Linked DNA regions of Caenorhabditis elegans. The protein of the gene in region 1 interacts with the protein of each later gene in a pairwise test. Each region holds a gene or a part of one and is shown on either strand. Other genes may lie near its edges.

Region 1 (6,404 bases):
TTGCTGCGGTGAAGCAAATTAATGAAGAATTACGACAAATTCGTATACTCCTGTTGTTTGCAAATCTGAAGTGTGAGTTTAAAATTTTTAAACAATTATAACCTTAGCTGGGATATTTCAGCATCACTCCGACGACAATATGGAAATGCTGGCCTGATTGGAGAAGGGAATATTGGAAGAAATCAAATGTATCCCTCCATTCAAGATGCGCTGGATTCTGCTCACGAATTAATTAAAAATCATAAAATGTTTTTTGATTGCGAGAAAAGTATGCCGCCAGAAAAGATTGTGCCTTAGAATACATAGATCATTATTTATCAGTTTTATCAATTGATCAACTTGTTAATCATATGGGTCATAATATGTGTAATTATTGGGTCAATATTTGAAATTTTTGTTAAACTTGCTCATGCTTCAAGTTTTCAATAAAGTTACCGTAAATTGAGGTTTGATTTTAGATTTTTAAACTAATTAGATATTTGTCAATAAATAAAATTTGGAAAAAGATGGAATAACATCTATGGATTCTTTGGTCTCAATGACTGGAAAAAAGTTGCACTATAATAAGCACAACAGTTTAAAAAATCATTGAATTTTTCTGAATTTTTTAATTAATTGTTAAATTTTGCAACAAAAAAAAATAGAAAGTATTGAATTATTTTCCCATACCCGCGTAACTAAATTACCTAATTTTGATATGTTTGTTTTTTACAGTTGTGTCAGTTTTTTGTCCTTTTTTGTGATTTTTGAGTAATAACAGAATCTTACAAAATTTTAGACTTTTCCACAAAAAAAAACCAAAAAAAAAATTGATAAAAAAGAAGAATTTTGTTGGAAATTCTTCAAATAATCGATAATTGAAAATTTATTTTTTAACGAAATTAACTTCTTGGAAACTGAATTTTTTTTGTCATTTTGAATTTAAAAAAAAATCATCGACTCTATTTCATCTTTATGTAAAATGATCAAACAGAGTTTGCTGAGCAAAAAAACGATGAAAGTCGTTTTTTGTTGGAATAGCCCAATTTTTCTTTCACATTTTGAAGCTTCAACAAATAAATTCCCAAGAGAATTTCAAGTGCAATACGATCATTTCTACTGGCTCATTCGTATTTTTAGAAATTTCACAAACATTTTGACACTGGAAAGTATAATTCTCACTTAACACGTTTCAAGTTGAACCAAAAATATCTCTCCGGGCGCTATGGACTCACCTTCCTGTTGATCACTGATTACAAATTGATTGTTGATGCCGAAAAAAAGGATTCAATATTACAATACGATTTTGTTTCAATACAGTCAATATTTTTTTTCTGAACAAAAAAATAGTACAAAAATTCAGAAATCAAGTTATGCAATAATGACACCCGAGAAAAGATGCAAAGTTTTTGCGGATAGGAACACAAAAAATTTGGTCGAAAGTTATGATTGTTTTCAGAAGGCTTCTGAATCAAAAAGTAGCTGGGAAAGGGAAGGGGAAGGACAATTATGGAGCTAGAAATGAGTACAATGACATTTTTGTGTGACCGAAAAATAGTTTTGAAATATAAGGCATTTAAAAGACAAAACGGATTGATAACAATTTTCACGATGTTTTTTTTTAGCACCAAGGTATTAAAAACAATGGGAAAGAGAAATGAGCAATGGCATTTGGAAAGTATTACTTCTTTAATGGAAATTGATGAATTACGGGGACTCCTTTATTTCTTTCTTTTTTATTATTTTGGTCCAGGACTCATCGATCTTCTTTGATTTTCAACGTCGCGGTCCTTTAAGCTTTCTGAGATGCGCTTTTTCAATTCTGTGGGGAACCGATCGTAACATCGTTTGCATGTTGGTTTCATATCGAATTCATAGAATTTCGTTCTGCAATGCATACATTAATTTGTTTTCATCAAGTTCATATGAATAGTTTTGCACTCACTTCTGATCAAGTTTCTTATCACAAAAACTGCAGGAGAAACATTTGACACACCACGTTTTCTGAAGAGCTTGGAATACTTCCCCGCAACATGGATCTCCGCATTTGAAACAAAGATTTCCGAATAACTGCAACAAACTTATTAATGTTTGCTTGTTCATATTTCAAGTACCTTGTGGAAGTGCTGTTCGCAATATGGAAGTCCCTTTCTCTCGTAGTGACGATGTCCCAAGAATGGCTTCTCACAGACGGAACAGACAAAGTGCTCCACGTGCCAGTGCTTGCCGAGTGCCGCGATGACACGCTCTTCAATCGGCCTGTGACATGCTCCACAAATTGGGATACCCATGGTATCGTGGCATCTGAGACAGTAGAGCTCTCCGTTTACTTCACGAGAAGCTGTCGTTAATTCATTGCTGAAAATTTTTTAAATTCAACTCATACTGTAAAACAAGATAAATTCTTACTTGCAACGTTTGCACTTAAAGTGATAAGGATGGAATGAATCTCCACGGAATTTGATGTGTTGTCCATCATCAATCATTGCGTGGCATTTGTGGCACACATATCGTCCATGACCTGCTGCCTTTTCCCGTTCGTTACATTCGCGACAGAGAGCTCTGAAAATTGAAATTCTTTCGAGCTTCGTTTACGCTCTCCAACTTACCGTCCAGCGTTCCGTAAAAATCCGACATCGGCCAACTGTTTATTGCAAATCTCACAACAGAAACATCCCGGATGCCAGCTGGCATTCATTGCTTTAATCACTCGTCCAACGATGAACTCGTCTAGAATATAAAACATTTATGGCTCTGCGTGTCTTCTCAAAGATACTTACTGCATTTTCCACAACATGGTGAGAACAGAACATGGAAGTCATGCTCGCAGTACTTTCGTCCTTCATACTCAAAGTAGATGCCGTCTGGGAATGGCTCAAAGCATTGAGCACATCTAAAAATTTTTTTGCAATTTTTGAGTTCTCTTAATTCTAACTTATAAAAACTTACACAAAACACTCCGAATGCCATACTTGCCCGGAAGAGTTCACCATCTGATCTTGCATCGAAAAACCATCATTACAACGGACGCACACCATGTTCTCGAAGCCATGGGCGAGATCCCCGTTGATATGGTTGTGGTCGGAATCCATTCCGCCACACACCATCTATTATTGAACCACTGAAAGTTGGCCACTATGCACACAGGATGGTTTAACGACCATGGGTTTGTAAGGAAAAAGGTGGGGGTAGGAAAGAAGAAAAGAAAGCGAGCGAGTAATATGAAGACAAATATGTACAAACAAGGGAAAGCCGGAGAAAGCATATAGTGTGTATAGGTTAGGTATGTTGGTTAATCGAAAAGAGCACAAAAAGTCAGAATTTCATATCTACATTTTGTTATATGCAAAGTAAATTTTTGCATAAACACAGAAATTTCCATATTCTAAGAATCGTAAAAACACTGGAGGTATTATACGAGGGGGCTGTGAAACAGTAGAAAAGAAGAAATCCTCAAGGAAGAGGCAAATGTGCCAAAGGTATAGGATGCGACGGGTTGACATATGTGTAAGAAGAACTCGGAGGCGGTGGCGTGGAAGCTTTTGCCATTGCATTTTGTGTAAAGAATGAAAACGAACCAAGAGATAGAGATATAAGTGAACAACAAAAGTATGTGTGTGAGTGCTGCTGCACAACAGATTCAACAGGATGCCTCAGCTTCCCTGACTAACTCACAGAGGGAGACGTGTATCCGATGTGTTGATGATCAGTATTGATTGGGAACAGAAAAAAGATTCTTCAGAAACATCGGTTGGGATATCGTGTGTTTAAATGGGAAAAAATTCGAACTAGTTATTTCGATTTTTTTTTGACTTTCTATGTACTACTCTACATAACAAAATTCAGTGAAGCGGCACATTTCACGCTTCAAAATGTGATACATGTATTACACCAGATGTTTTGAGATGCAACGGAGGAAAGCAACAATGCTTCTTTTGTGGTGTTTGCATTTAAAAATAAAACTAGTTGTAAAAATGAAACCAAAAATTCAATACAACTTCTATACGGCTAAACTATAAAGTTTTGAATTATATTTAAACATAGTAATAGTTATAAACAACACCTTAAAAATGATAATAGTTGTTGAAAATCAACTTTCCTCACACAGTGATATGGGCATTTACTGGGCAAAAAGAAAGTGCGCAGAATGTACAACTAAAAAGAGTGGAAGAAAGCGAGAGGCAATGCGCGCGCGGCGGGTTGGCCGACAGCCAAGCGGGGGGTCACAGACTACGGCCGCAGACGTAACGACTCCGGGAAGAGTGCGCGATTCGAAGAGACGCATACAATCGGGTTGCGTGCGTAGGGTCACATTAATAGCCAAGTATTGCTGCTCGTTGATACTCGGAACAGGCAGGAACAAGCTTTTTCTAACACATGTTTATAGACAGTTGTGAGAATAAGAAAGGATCATCAGTTTAGATATGAGAAATCAAAAGACATGGTTGAAAAGTACGAACCCCGCAAATGTTGGCAGATAAATGTTCAGTATCTGACCTTCGTTTGTGTTTTTATATTCTTACGACTGGCCTTGATCATGAGCTAGTATCATATATCAGGATGACAAAAATCCAGAAATTGTAGCTTGAAAACAATGACTAACTTTGAAATGATGACATTATAGAATGAGGTCCTCTGCCAGTAGAAATGCCTCCACCTGCCAAACAGCTGTGCGCAGTGTTGAGAAATACCACCGCTTTTTCTAGAAGATCGTAAACCGATAACAGAGGTTTTTGGACCGACTTTTTTCGGAGCAGTGTATAAATTCTAAACTGAGTATTTTATTACACAAATCTATAAGTTTCAAAGTGAGTTTCTACAAAATGAACCAGTGTGGCATGTTCTCAAAATTTTTTAATTGAAACTCAGTGATATCGAAAAATCTTTAGCTTGTCTAAAAATATTTTTAATTTCAGTTGGAACAATTTAAAAAGTGCTCACAATTAATCCGAAAGTTAAAACATCAAATGAAAAATCTTTCAAAAATGTCCTATTTTCCCAACTAAAAAAATCTTATTTTCAGAGAAAGTAAGTAGTTTTCCATATTCTGAATTTCCATAAAAAAGTTTGTGAGCACATGCCAAACTGGCTCATTTTATAAAATAGTTGGTCTACAGTTGCCACGAATGTCTGGTGTTCATCATCCACATTTGAAAATGTTAGAAAAATATTTGTGTAGATCACAATTTTTCAATTTCCTTTTCTTGAAGTTTTTCGTTTCATAGTTTTATAGCATCTTCCTGTTAGTGAAAACTAGCTTGAAAGGGAAAACTAAACATTGAATTGTCTACACAAACTTTTTAAAATTTCTTTTAAAAAAATCAAATATGGATACTGGACACGGATCAAAACCGTTTCAAAAAAAATATGTGTGAAAAATATCATGCGCACTAAAAGGAGCACTTTCAGCAGTTCCATTCGACTTTTTTTTTTGATATATTACTTTTATTCATAAAACAAGACAAGGGATTCAAGAGATCAGATAATTTTTAATGTTCAGCACATTTGATTAAAAAATGACAGAAATGAAATATGACAACAATAGTAATGCATCAGCGTTGAATTGGAATAATAGGATAAAATTGAAAGAAACAAAAAGAATCACACAGACAGGGAGGGGAGCCGGAGCAGATCAAGATGATGTACTATCGTCTTTTTCAGCACGATCTTCTTTTTCATTTCCTGCCCAAAGTGGTTTGACCAGTGCGGAAAGATTACGGTCCATTTCGTTAAAGTTATACCGTTCCTTGATCGGCTTGCCTATCGGATCAGAAGTGCTGAAAAATTTACAATTGGAAACGTAATTGAATTGAATAACGTAATAACAATAGGAACTTATTTTTGAAACTAAATTTAGTATTTTAAACTGACTGGAGAAATTTTCCAAATAAGTTCCTTTTTTTGAAAAAAATGTGCTCAAACTCACTGTGATGTGCAGAAAGAAGCGGAAAGCGGAGAAGAAGATGCAAGTATAACTAGTAGTTGAAATTTCGGCGAGCCAATGCTTCCGCTTTAATTGAAGCCGCCGAAACGACGGACTCCCTCGAATCTGTAGAGTTCATGCTTTCTTGACTTCCCATCACTTTTCCATGCTTCGGATCTGCTGGATCTTCTTCTCGTGCTATTGGCGCCTTCCGTACTCCAAATCTTGCAACGAACTTTTTCCGCATCTCATCTTCAACTCTTACTGTCGCATTTGAATCGGTACTTCCTAGGCTTTGAATACTCTGTCCATCACTGGATGCAGCCATTATAGTTTTGGAAACCACATTTGATGGAGTCTGCGTGAAGAACTCAGTTCGAGCCATTTTATTTTTTGCGGACGGGGATTGAGGAATGATTAATGATTGTGGTTGCGAAGGTGCATCACCCGTTGTTACATTTTCATATATACTTCTCTGCGTTGCAGTTTGACGCAGAACACC
Region 2 (6,685 bases), on another chromosome or scaffold:
TGGGTATTCCATATCCCCTAAAAAATTTTTAATTTTTTTTTTCAAAAATTCAAGTTAGACTGTAGGACAAACACCTATAAAACCCGGTGATGATTTCTTTTTTCGCGTCTCTGATAACTGATTGACCGGTCAATGTATTGCCGGGCGGGCACAAAAAAAAAAGATTAGAGACGCAGAAACGCGCTCCACTGCCAATTGAAAACGCTCCGCCCCCAAACAGTTGGGTCTCGTTAGGAATTTGGCGGAAAAACTGGGAATTTCGCTGATTTTTATGCCGAAATTATTGTTTTTTTTTCGATTTGGGATAGAGAATACATTAAAAACAACGAAAACTGCTTGAAAATTTGAAAATCCGGTTTTCCCGCCAAATTCCTAACGAGACCCAACTGTTGGGGAGCGGAGCTTTTACGTTTAGCCGTGGAGCGTGTTTTCACATCGATTTCACAGGTGATTTTTTCTGCGTCTCTCTAATACAATAAAATTAAGATACTTGTGCAAAAAGTACCGTAGTACTTTAAAGGCGCACACCCGAAATTTTAATTTTTCGTGGCGAGACCCAAAATTGGCCGTGGAGCGGGTTTTCTGCGCTCTTGTGATAAATCCGAACTTGACAATACTAACATCAGAACTTCCAGTTGGTTTTTCAATTGCTGCATCATCGGCGGTTCTTCTATCAGATCTCATTGAATTGGGTCTCATCACGTAAAGTGCCATTGCCATAAATGTCCATAAAAGTGTCCACATCATCATTGTATTGCCACCTTCACGACTCAAACCATCATTGTCGCAACCCGTATCTGTGCAGTCCGCTTGCGAGTTTCGGAGCTGCAAAATTTTGATTTTTTTCAAAAACATTTTTTTTTTTTGGAGTTTTATGACGATTTGCAATGGGTATTCAGATACGATATGTTGTGATTTTGTGCGTCGGGGTCTCGACACGACAATTTTTTATTTTTTTGTTAACTGCGAAAAAGGCGTGCGCCTTTAAAGGGTACTGTAGTTTCAAAGTTTAGTTGCTGCGGAATTTTCATAGATTTTTAGTAGTTTTTCGACAAAAATATAATAATTTTTTGAACCAGAAGAAAGCGATAAAAACAGAAAAACGTTTGAAACTACAGTACTCTTTAAATGCGCACACCTTTTAGCATTTCATATCAAATTTATCGAGTCGAGAGCCGAAAATTTGTTTTTTTTAAATTGTATTGGCAAATTTCGCGCTAAACCCCGAATATTTCCATAATTATTTCCCTTACCATAGCCAAAAGTCTTTGCATAGCAGATTCATGATCGAAGAAACATTCACACGGATCACTCATTCTCTGAAATTGCGAGTTTCCGTCGTTGAACTTCACAGAATCGAGAAATGAAACGAACAGAGAACGTGGACGGGAAAATATAATAAAAAATAAAAAAAAGTGGGCAATGCAACGTTGCCTTACAAAAATATTGCTCAATGGGGAGAGATTGCGAGAGAAAACAGACAAAAAATCAGCTGGGAGACGACGGGTTGTGATGGGAAACCATGCACATTTTTCATGAATTTAATGACTTGAAGAAGTGAAAAAATAATGCTTTCAGAGCAAAAAATGGTGAAATTAGAATTTCGGCCAGTTTTTTGTTGTTTCCGGATTTTAGCCTAAATTGTGTTTTTTCTCTAAAAAATTACCAAAAAATGTTGCTGAAGAGTTGAAAAATTTTTGAGCATTATTACCCAATTTTGCGATTACGGTACCGGTACCAGGGTCTCGACACGACACATTTCTCTCAAATACATGTGACTTTAAATGTGTGCCTTTAAAGAGTACTGTAATTTTGAACTTTTGTTGTAGTTACGGAATTTTCATAGATTTTTTTGTAGTTTTTGTCACGAATTGTTAAAAATTTATTCGATTTCATTAAATAAATATATTTTTATTTAAAAAAAAAATTAAAATTGTTGAAAATTCTCTTTAAAGGCGTACACCTTTTTTGCAATTAATAAGAAAATTGTCGTGTCGAGCCCCGGGGCGCAAAAATCGCAAAATTTCACGTCTGGGTATTATAAAAATATAAAACCATTTTTTAGGCCGATAAATAATAATTAATCACCAAGTGTATCCTCCACACAGACTACAAAATAAGAAAAAGAGAACCTTTTGATCGGAAGCGGACACACATTCCGTATCTGTCGGGAGGGATAAACCGGTCTTTGATCTACTTTTTCTCGGGGATGTAATTCATTATAATTGACGACAACTGACAAGACTAATTAATTTACGAGCGTGTCGAAAATCGATAATTTTGATTATTTTTGGACATTAAAGCCTTTTTTCAGTCTAAAAATCGGTTTTTTGGCCAATTTTTAGAAAAAAAAAATTTCATTTTAAAAACTGACGTTGGCTGTTGGTTGGCAGGGAGGAAGAGACATCTTTTTTTGTTTATTTGGAATACTGTGAGAGAGAAAAGAGGGCTTAGAGATATTGATGACGTTTCATAAACGGATTTATGGGCACTGAACGGAAGGAAATTAATTTTTTTTTTTGCTTTTTTAAACTAAAAAGTGAAAAAAGAGAGAAAATGAAGCAAAAAAAAAAGACGACGAGACAATCGAAATGTTTACCTTTTTCTCTCTTTCTACTGAATTTTTTCTTATCGCTTTTTGCCATCTTAAGACAAAATGATTAAAAATAATTAAAAATCAATAAATGCTGCCTTCAGTAACCTTAAAGGCGCGCCTCAAGAACTTAAAATTAGTAGTAGTTCGTTGCGAGACCCATCACTTAGATTTTACTTGTGCCCCTTTAGAGGTGTACCAAAAGACGAACATTTTGAAGAAAAAATTTGTTTTTTTAGATTAAAAATAAGAAAAAAGGAAAAAAAAATTTGTGTAAATCTAATATCTAAAATTTTTTGATGCCGAAGATTAAAATTTAGAAATTTAAAATCTTTAAAAAATAGGAAAATCTAGAAAAAACACACAAAACCCAAACCTTTCAAAAAATAGAATTGATCGCAATATGGGCCCGAAAAAAATCAATCAATAAAAATGTAACCTTCTCCTCAAGGAGGATCCTCCTTCCGCCCATCGCTCAATGAACTTTTCACTGCTTCTCATCGTTCTCTTGGCAAACTGAAATGTCTCCAGCACCCTGCGTCTCTCCAACAGTGTAATACTCTCTCGCTGTACACACTTTCCTTTTCCCCCCATCTCACCCCACACACGTCCATTCCGCCTACGATTCGCTGTCATTTCTTCTTTTTCTTTCGTCTTTCGTCCCCTCTCTCAACAAATATATGTCTCTGTGTCTTTACAGGTTCATGTACTATCTCGTTGGAATCCCCTTGAATGGTATTCCAGCTGTGTTTCCTTTTTTTCCCATTTTTTTGCTAGTTCTTCCGCAATTATATTTAATAGAGGATTAGAAAGTGAGAAAGTGAAAAAGATCTTTGGAATTGCTATTTCTTCAAATTTTTGTGTCGATGCACCATGTCAAAGTATGAAAATAGTCATATTTAACACTGATTTTATCGTTTATCAACTCGCGAAGCACCATTTCCTATCCACAAAAAAAGGATGTAAAAAATTAAAATTTCAGGTAAAAATGCCAAAGGACAAGAAGAAAGACGAAGTGACAGAGGTTGAGCATGTCGATCGGAATATTTCGTCGTTTTCTCAAATTTCACATCTCAGTAAGCATTTTTTTGAGCTCTGCGCCACATTTGACGCGCAAATCTTCAATTATTCCATGGTTTCGTATGCATTAGAAATTGATCTGGCGGAGCAGCAGCTGTTGCTCTGTGCTCAGCTCCTCCGCGGGAAAATCGTAAATAGAATTTGCGCGTCAAATACGGTGCATTGGGTCTGTAGATCAAAATAAATGTGTTGCTTCTTAGGCTGAGGCTTAGGTTCAGGCTTGGGCTTAAGCTTAGGCTCAATCTTAGGCTTAGTCCTAGGCTTAGGCTCAGGCTGAGGGTTAAACTTAGGTTTAGGCGTAGGCGCAGGCGCAGGCGCTGGCTCAGGATTTGGCTTAGGCTTAGGCTCAATCTTAGGCTTATGTTAGGCTTAGGCTTACGCTTAGGCTTAGGCTTACGCTTAGGCTCAGACTTAAGCCTAAGCGGGATAAATTTTCGAAATCTTCCAAAAATTGAATTCCAGTCGATGCGGAAATCATCACTCGTCTCACTTTGAGCCACAACAAGCTCACTTCAGTACCACCAAATATTGCGGATTTGGTCAGTCTTCAGGTAAGCCAACCCTACATCAAGGTAATCTTCTTAATCCAATCTTTAAAAAATTGCAGTCCCTGAATTTGTGGAATAACCAAATCGAGGATCTACCTCCATCGATTTCATCTCTTCCAAAACTTCGAATTCTTAACGTCGGAATGAACAAGCTGTCGATTCTGCCACGTGGATTCGGATCCTTCCCAGAGCTGGAAATTCTTGATTTGACCTACAACAATTTGAGTGAACGATCATTGCCTGGAAACTTTTTCTTTATGCGTAAGTGGGGGAAAAATTGGAATTTTAAATTCTTGTTAGGACTGGAATAAGTTTGATCTACAATAAATGCGGGAACGTTTCGCCCAGAAAAATGTGATGTTGTACACTACATCAGTTAAAAAAGCTGAATCTGGGGCATCCGGTGTTCCCTTCTCCGAAAAAACCTCTCCCAATTTCCAGAAACCCTCCGCGCCTTGTACCTCGGAGACAATGATTTCGAAATGCTCCCCGGAGACGTCGAAAATCTTACAAATTTGCAAATCCTCGTGCTCCGTGAAAACGATTTGCTCACTCTTCCAAAAGAGCTGGGAAAGCTGACACGTCTCCGTGAGCTTCATATTCAGGGAAATCGTCTGGCTATGATTCCACCAGAGCTCGGAAATTTGGAGTTGGTCGGGTCAAAGCAGGTGCTCAGATTGGAGCACAATCCATTTATTCCGAGAATTGAGGTACATATATATTTTATTTATTTTTTATTTAAAAATTTTCTGTGATTTTAGGAGCAATTCGAGGCCAACGGAGCCGCCGGAGTCTGGGCTCACATCAGAACTGACGACTATCGATATTTCTTCGGTCGTCAGGAACCATCGTCAACTCCAGTTCCACCAAAAAGAAATAAGGAGAAGAAAGTATCGAGAAAAGGAATTCAACAAGCCTAAAATTGCCATTTCAACCCAAAAAATTTTTTGACCTACTCATGGTGCTGCCTAAATAATGCTTTACTTTGTTCAATATTGAATTGAATTCAATCATTTAATTGTGCCTTTTTACACTGCAAATAAGAAATACTAATAAAATTCTATCGAGACAAAAATCATCATTTTATTCAAAAATTATGCAAAAACTTGTTTGGATTTTGCGTTGGTCAGCAGAGAATTCATGGTAAGACTAGATTATGTAATAAAAAATTAATAAAATTATGCGTGATAGGAAGGGGAATTGGGGAACCAAAATATGACAGAAGCCAGGAAAACCAGTAAAGGGAATTTTTAACAAATTGAAAAATAATCGAAACATAATAATATTAGCAGAATTATTGTGTCTTTGATAGTTTTCGGTGCAATACTGGTGTCAGACTGCCCCATTACGGTTTGACCTACAAAAAATGCGGGAATTTTTGCATGACGGCAGCACGTCCTCTAATCATGCAAAATCAGTTGAGAACTCTACTCCCGCATTTTTTGTAGATCTTCGTAGATCAAACCGAAATGGGACATTCTGACTACTCGGCCACTGGGATGAATTAATTATGACAGCCGTCATTGGCACCAGTCACGATGCACCATATCTTACGCGCAAATTCAAAACTTCACCAGTACCTATTAAACACACAATAAAATAGATCCTAATGTTTAAAAATCGAAAAGCACGAAAAAACGCGTCTCAAGTGACTTTTCCTCTTCTTCTTCGGCGGGTACGGTAGATGTGTGAAGCTTCTCGAAATTGAGCATTTCTCATGATTTGCGAACATTGGATTTATATGGGATTCTGGTATTGATGAGATTGTTGTGGTTGTTGAAGGGTTTCCAGTTGAAAAAAGATTTCGGAGAGATGAGTAGAAGCCTGTCGACGAGCGAACTTTGTAGTCGTCCTGGAAAATTTTATTTATTTGGAGTTCTGAGAAGTGATTTTTGCACGTGGTGCCAGAGTTTCCAATTTCGGCTTGATCTACGTAGATCTAAAAAAAATGCGGGAGAAGAGACGCAGAATTTTCAACTGATTTAAATACAACCTGATACCCACGTGATGTCAGGCTGTCTCAATACAGTTTGATCTACAAAAAATGCGAGAATTTTTTGCCCAAAAGAATGTGACGTCAGCACGTTCTTAACCATGCGAAATCAGGTAAGATAATCTCCCGCATTTTTTGAAGATCAAACCGAAATGGGAATTTCTGACTCCACGTGGACACCGTGTGTTTTTGTGCATTGAATTTTTGAATTTGTGCGGAAAATTTGGACCATCGAATAATCAATGCATCAGATTTCACGCGCAAGTTTTTGATTGACTGAAATATTGTCTCCAGATCTTTTGAACTTGTTTTTTTCGTTATTTCGAGCCAGAAAAAGTGTAGTTTGTCAAACAACAAAATATTTAGATATTAGGAAAATAATTTTGAAAAACTCTGGTCAAAAACTTTTTGGGATAGCCCTGACTGGCCTAAAATCTCACCTGAAACTTCAACAGCTCATCAATCTCCACA
Region 3 (7,425 bases), on another chromosome or scaffold:
TAACAAATCGCAATAAAAATAAAGGTTGTCATCGGTCAAAACGAAGAAATTGAGAAGAAATCGTCAAAACAACCGGATGGAAACTGAGGATTTGGAACAGTTATCAGTTGAAAAGAGAAAATGACAAAAGTATTGAACGAGAAAGAGACAAGTGCAAAGAAAATGAACGGAGTGGAGCAGCTCAGAGGTTTTTTCCGGGATTGCTCAAGTATATTTTCCAAGAGTTGATCTTAAGTGATTCGGGCGATTTTCAAGTTCGGATTATAAGAAATTGAACCGTACTCCTTGAATTGATATCTATAATTTATTTGTTTTGATTTAAATGTGGTTTTGTTTTCTCGAAACACACTTTTTTGGAAAAGACAGCGCAAAATTTAGAACTGTAAAGGCTACATACAGTAAAATGGATGTTTTAAGGTTCAAAATAATAATTTAAACAGAAAAGTATAGATCAATGAGCTGAAGAATAAATCAAAATCCAGAAGGAGCGGTTATATCATTTTCAACCGGCATCGTGTGAGAGTCCGTGTGGCTTTCCGATACTTTCTCTGCGTCTATTGATTTTCAGTTGATCTCTTGCCGCCTAATTCTCGGATATCACACGCACATCTTACGCAACTGTCGCGTAGAAATACACAATCATCACGCCAGACTCGCAAGGGGCGAGATCATGGTGCCAATACGAAAAACCGAGTAGTAGATGAGGAGGCAATCAGAGAATTAAGAACAACAACAACAATATATTGCTCTAAATCTTAAAATAAAATACTGGAATCTTGGTGTTATATTTATTCTTCACGATTGATGAGAAGAAATATTTCGAAATCAGTTTTATAATAATTCTCAGTGGCAAGGATATATAGATATTTTGGTGATATATTGAGCAATCAACAATATAATTTCAAAAATATTTGTGCTTAAATGTCGTGCAAAGCAATAATAAGTTCACTGTTTATATGGTCAATACGACTTCACTTTTTTATTTTCTAAGAGATTTGATGGTTTGGTCATTTGTCTAGCTCAAATTCAATGTTGATTCTAGCACTTCAAAAAGTATCAAAAAATAATCAAAATATTTCTTCTGAAATTTTGTGCAAAATAACAAAGTTCAGTTATTAACAACTTGGATGTCTTTGGTGTTATCAAACATTTGGTGATGTACAAATTGAAATTTTTGGCTTGAAAAAGATTCAAGGAGCAACAGAATTGAAGTGGCAGGTTTGAATTCGAAATCAAATATAATCAACAATTATTTTTTGAAAATGTGAATATCGTTTATCTCCAAACAATTCTCGAGTGCCGGCTTTTCACCGGAGCCGCCGCCATTGCCACCCAGCAGATAACAAATATTCAAATATTTTGTATTAGAAGAGAGATTATTGAATAACATTAGTCGCAGATGTTCTCCTCCACACTTTTCCGCGCACACACATTGTGGTGTAATTGTGGCTTCTAATATTTGACACTTTGAGCATTGAATGAAGGGAGGGAAAGGACGAACAAAAAAGCATTGAGAAAATGCGGCATGATTCCATTCAAGAAAATGGGCCGAGAAATATCTTGACTAAAAGACATTGATGGGTATTCTAGGATTCTGAGAGAAGAAGGAAAATGGAGGGGGGGGGAAAGATGCCATCGAAAACTGACAAATGACATTTTCTGGATGGGAGGTTGTAGTCGTTGTCCAAGTACTTTGCTACACTCAATTTGTTTAGATTACGAACTCATTTACACTTGTTTTTCGTCTATACAATGAAGAAAATGTAACTTTGGGTCAATTTTTTATGGAATTTACAATTTATAAACTATAGCTACTGACTATGATCTGGCAGAATTATTTTGTGGTGCACTTTTTGTCTTCAAAATTTGGTGATGGAAAACCTTGTATTTTGAATTTCAACTAATTACACGATGATGTAACCTATGCTTCAGAAAATTCTTGAAACCAAACAAAAACAATGCAATGCAAAATGTTCATATTCTACGCAATCGGCTGATTACATAAGAATTTTCCTAATCGAAACAATAATAAAACCGTTGCCGCGTCAACATTTAAATAGGCGCGTGAATCTGCGGAAGGGCATCAAAAGAGTTTCGGAGTGTGATGATGGACATAATAAAAATCATAATAATAATAACCATACGCATGGCATCCATGAAAATGCGCATGGGTGGCGTTTGAGGTCAACTTTTGTTGAATTATTATGATGATGTGAACTATTTGGATTTATTATATAAATTCGGAAATTTTGGAATTTCGAGTTAAATGTATATGTAGGTTTAAATGATGACTTGACTAAATTGAAATAAATAATTGTTTAGATTTTGTATGTTTTCAGAAAAAATGGAATGAAAAAATTTATAAAATGGGAAAAAAAAACTTAAATGAGTGTAACAATAAAATTTGGGATATAGTGTTTTGTTAAATTAAGACTATTAACATGAATGTTGGAGGACTGTAGAATTTAGAGAAACTAAATTTTCCAAGCTCCCAAAATGCCTTGCTAAACAAAATCGCTAGGTTGTGAATAAAATATTGACATTTAGGAAGGAAGAGAAAACTAAACAAAGGATGAGGTTATGTTTCCTAAAATTGGATTTAGTATTAGGTCATGCGGATTTTGCAACAAGCGAGAAGGATATGATTATGAGAAATGAAATTGAATTGTAACAACACGAACACGTACAAAATGATAATTTGTAAACTTTTCCTCCACCTTCTCTCTATATATCTCATTTCCTCAAGTTCTCATCAACTACTAAATCTTATGAACACTTGAGGTTCCTTCCAACATATCAAACAAGCTTCTCAATAAAATCAAACAGTTTTTTTTTCTAAACAATCTCACGTTCCAATTTCTCTTTAGTAAATAATAATTGAGAGAGGGCAAAAAATAAAATAAAAACTGCGATGGTTCGATCAAAAAGAGGTGAAAATCAGAAAAGCAAATGATTCGATGTGTGTCATCTCAACTAAAGAAAAAAAGGAAACTGTAGTAAACATCGACACGTTACACGAGAGCCAGGTTAAGAGGATGTAAAACAAACAAAACAATATGTGCCTTGATGATCGGACTTGGAAATTGAAAGTTTCTTTTTTTGTATGTATTTCTAAAGTTTTAATCGGGAGATGCGAAAATTGGTCTTGTAATACCGATGTTTGGTGAGGACTTTAAATGAGTGGGTCTCAAAGTTCGGAAGATCTTGGAAAATGGGAAAAGAGTTGGTAAAAGTTTTGCAGGTGATTTTTGCATTTCGTTTGAAAAACTTCAAAACATGCTCATGAAAATATTCAAATGGTTTACTCAGTACGATATGTTCTTCCTAAATTTACCTAGATAAAATCTGAAACATAAAAATGTTATGAAAAATAAAATAAAATTTATAATTTTTCATGACCCGTTGAATATCGACTCCCCTACGAATCAAAACATGGAACAGACAGAAGCTCAGCTACGTCACATTTGAGGTCAAATTTACAAGGATTGGGTATTTATTCTTCAATGTATGTAAGTTTGAAATAGCTGGTAGGCACGAAGGCAGTAATTTTTATTCCTATATGGATTTTTTTCGAAATTTTATTCAAAATGTCGAGTTTAGGGGAATGTTTTTTTTAAGTTTTTTGAGAGTAGAAATTATTAATATCTGATAAACTTTAGCCATTTTAAAAAAATTTAGCTTGCTTTTCTAATTGAATACTACATATTGAAAACAAAAGAGAGTTTGACAAATATGAAAAAAATCGAATCACAATAAAAAACTATTTTACGTTAAAAAAAAATCACACCTTGTAATTGAACAGTCGGCTCATCGTCATTTGCACATTCAGAGAACTGTTGCTTATCTTCGTAGTAGCTGAATCTCCTGCGGAACCAGGAAAATCCAATCGACATTGCACCTTCAGAGAGAGTAAGATTTAAATCGGTAAAAGAAACGAAAGAAAATTGAAAGATTGAACGGTAAAGGAAGTTGGCAGTTTCAAAATAAATCTTTTGATTTCTTGCTTTAATCCTATTAACTGGACTTGAAACCGAAGAAATGGATACCTAGGGTAAAAACTTGAAACAAAGTTCCACAAGCAAGGTTTTTCATCAAATTATAGCATTAATGTTCCACTTTTTTGCGTCTTGTTTTCTGGTCAAATTCTATTCGGTTTCTATTCAAAGCCGATGAAACATGGGAAATTCAGAAAATTGTGGGAATATGATCGCATCGGAAATACAAGTAATTATAGGGGGATTGACCGAAGAAACGTCGCTCTAGCGTTCAGAAACCTTCTGAACCACGCGAAGGAACAAATAAATTGGCACAATAAGAAGATGTTGAAGTCAGTGAATACCAAACGGAAGATTGAAAGTGGTGGTGGTGGTAATGTAGGAATGTAAGAAAGAAGAGTCAACTTGATACTTGTGCGCAGGGTTCGTCACACTACTTGGTCCCGTATTTACACTCCTAATACGGCCCGTGCGGAGTTTTAATACCAAACGAGAGAGGTAAACTGTGTTGCCAAAGAGCAATCGGAGGAAGATGCTCCCTTTTGAATTACCGCAATTCCTTTATTAATATGATTGCTAATAGTAAGATAATTTTCAAAGACCGTCGTTATTGCTAGACCAATGCATTTAAAATTTTTGGTTGCTCATCTGAAATTAGTAGTTTATCAATTCCAAAAATTCAATTTCTTGGCTTTTCATGAATTAACTGGAATCATCGAACAAGAATAATAATAACAAAAAAACCTCCGTTCAAAATAGGTAAGTAGCTATTTTTTTAAAGGTATTATAGGCATAATAGTAATAGAAGAAAAACGGTAGAAACCTTATTTAAAAAATTGAAAATAATTGTATCAAAAGTTATAAAACTAGTTTTTTAACAACTGTATTCTTAGAAAAAAAGCTATCCACCTCTAAACGGTCTCCACAGAATAAAGAAGAACAAGCTCATCTTCACCAAATGTTTATTGCCTTGTTTCGGTTTCGGTTCAGTTTATAAGTGGTTGGAGGATTATCGGAAAGATTCACTAGTTCTATATTCTGAATAAGAAATGTGCAAATAGATGAACAACTCTTACGGACAGAGTTCATGAATGAGGGCAATGCTGGAAAGTGTCAATAATGCTTATCAGCTTATTTTACGTTTTTTGGGCTGATGTTAAACCCTTTTTTTAGAAGTACCATTTTTGAATAGATGAACGCAATAAAAAATAATTTTGTGGGGAATACCAATGATATATTTTTTTAGAAAAGTAGTAAAATTATGTAGCATGTTCACCATTTAAAATAATTTAGTTTCGGGATTGCCAACTTTTTGCAAAGTTGAAACAAAAAGAGCTCACGATTTAAAAAAATTAGGTTTTTATTTCGCCAAAAATCACTAGCCTCGAAGCCATTTAGGCAATATGAAATCAAAAACCAAAAAGTCTTTCAAATAGCAGTTCCCTATTATTTTATGTGACTTGTCAATTGGAAAATTGTGAGAAAAGAAAAAACAAAGCTATAAATCTGGAACAGATCCAAGATCCAATGTAATCTCAAAACACAGAAAGGTGTCGAAAGAGTCAGAGAGAACGGCAAGTGGATATGCTCTCAAATGGAGTGCTCATTTGCAAACGGGGGAGGAGAGGAACCTGTTTATTTATCTGACGCATCACAATAAGACTCTTTTTCTTATTTCGATTTTTTGATTTATTACTTCAATAAGAAAAACGCACAAAAAAAGAGGCCATTGGCATATAAATGTGAGAAAAAGAAGAATTGGATGAAAAGAGTTGTGAGTGTGCGTGTGTGGCAATTAGTCCAAGTGACACTCAGCCTTTGAACATCGTTCATCGTGTATCACTGATAAATGACAACTGCCTCAGGTATTTTGGAAATCTTTTTTATCTCCGGCGGCTCTTTTGACCTACTCTGAACTTTTGCTCTGTGCTTTGGAATAGAGACTAAGAACAGGGAACTTTCAACAGAAATTGGACACTTTGAAAGCCTTGTAGACATGGAGCATATTATCTTTCGGGGTTTTTTTTTTGAAAAAGTTTAAAGTTGGTTAAGCGACAAAAATACGTTTCTTCCAAGTTTTGAAAACCGAAAAACCGAGCCTTTCCATTTTTGGACTCAGAAGTCAGAGGCTGAGGAAGGCAAAGAAAATTAATTGATTTATGAAAATAAAAGAGCACTCTTGTCTTTTCCTGCCGACAACCGCACCGGAAAACTGCACACCAGATGGGTAAAAATGATGAATTAGATTAGATCAACGGAAATGGACAATGAGATTTGCGGTACCAGAGACACAAAAACATTCGAGGTGAAAGGCTACGTGTCACTGGAATAATATTCAATGCATCAAGGGAATATGCCCTTTGTCAATTGAAACTTTTTTTGAGGGCGAACTTGGGAATGTGGCAAGCAACTTTTTGGCAATATGGAATCAGAGGATAGTTAGGTTCACTGTAATTTCAAGCTTCTTTCAGAGTTTAATATCTCATAGCTAAAAGCAAATGCAGGCAGCAGTTTGCAAAGTTGACTAAAAAAGGCAATTTACTTTTGTCTTACAGCTTGGTATAAAATTAAAAGTTAAAAAGATTCCGTTGTGAAATTGAACACATCACATCCGACAAAATTCCAAGTAAATATAGAAAAAAAAACAGGACATTCTAAAAAGGTTTGCAATTTATAATTGTAAGTGCTTCGAGGTAAAAACGGATAATTAAAAATTTTATAGTTTTCAGAACTAGTCGCGCACTTGCTCAAATATCGAGTGGAGGATATAGTTTTTTAATTTTTTTCAGAAATGTTAAAAACTTTAAGTTCGGCATTCTCAAATTTATTTTGAATTATTTGTATTACTTCTTGAGCAGTTTTCATTCATTTTGAATATTTTCTCAATCGTGAAGCCCAAAGAAAATCCTGTAGTGATTTCAGAAAATCTAACTAAGTCACACTCCCAGTTTCTAGATATGCTTCAATTTCATCATAGATTAAAAAGATAAGTGAATGAAATGTAACTCCTAGACGTTCAATAATATGATAACCTTTTAAACTCTCGACCTATTTCACCCAGCTGCCCCGTATAAAAATACGTCTATCTTCTCCGGATACCATGTTTGCCAATGCATTGTGCACAACAAAACCATCTGTCGATCATGTGAAAAAGGGGAGGAAATGCAGTGAAATAGGGCATTTCTGTTCAGAAAAGAAAAGGCACACGAACACACAAAAAGAGAAACCCTACAATTCACCGCATAACATGTAATTTTTGTTTTCTTTCATTGTTTTTTGAACTAACCTACTAAATAAATGAACCGTCGTCTTCTTGTTTCGTCATTCATCATTCATTCTTACAGGACAATAGTAGTAATAAGTCATTGAGCGGCGCGGTGTTGCAAACTTCAAAATGAATATATATCTAAGTATCTTCTTTTTTCAAAAT

What was found. Proteins that work in one complex are often made in the same cells at the same time.
Region 2: the proteins of unc-97 (region 1) and rsu-1 interact in a two-hybrid assay, tested with the Caenorhabditis elegans proteins (2 studies listed by BioGRID).
Region 3: the proteins of unc-97 (region 1) and uig-1 interact in a two-hybrid assay, tested with the Caenorhabditis elegans proteins (one study listed by BioGRID).

What each region holds. Positions count from the first base shown.
Region 1 is NC_003284.9:5,589,829-5,596,232, reverse strand, and holds unc-97 (LIM domain-containing protein unc-97), read right to left. Parts: upstream 3,101-6,404; 5' UTR 3,072-3,100; coding exon 2,929-3,071; intron 2,873-2,928; coding exon 2,760-2,872; intron 2,710-2,759; coding exon 2,589-2,709; intron 2,542-2,588; coding exon 2,389-2,541; intron 2,338-2,388; coding exon 2,094-2,337; intron 2,050-2,093; coding exon 1,925-2,049; intron 1,867-1,924; coding exon 1,719-1,866; 3' UTR 1,268-1,718; downstream 1-1,267. Other genes in the region: sulp-2 (STAS domain-containing protein), read left to right, coding at 1-72, 122-297; mec-2 (Band 7 domain-containing protein), read right to left, coding at 5,955-6,404. UniProt on the Caenorhabditis elegans protein: Component of an integrin containing attachment complex, which is required for muscle development and maintenance. Probably function in adherens junction.
Region 2 is NC_003281.10:3,468,428-3,475,112, forward strand, and holds rsu-1 (Ras suppressor protein 1), read left to right. Parts: upstream 1-3,575; 5' UTR 3,576-3,581; coding exon 3,582-3,669; intron 3,670-4,135; coding exon 4,136-4,224; intron 4,225-4,280; coding exon 4,281-4,482; intron 4,483-4,662; coding exon 4,663-4,931; intron 4,932-4,982; coding exon 4,983-5,141; 3' UTR 5,142-5,292; downstream 5,293-6,685. Other genes in the region: smim-14 (Small integral membrane protein 14), read right to left, coding at 622-825, 1,254-1,316; C34C12.9 (uncharacterized protein), read right to left, coding at 5,828-6,073, 6,655-6,685.
Region 3 is NC_003283.11:13,288,500-13,295,924, forward strand, and holds the start of uig-1 (Protein vav), read right to left. Parts: upstream 3,894-7,425; coding exon 3,788-3,893; intron 2,218-3,787; exon of another isoform or gene 2,068-2,217; intron 678-2,067; exon of another isoform or gene 529-677; intron 1-528.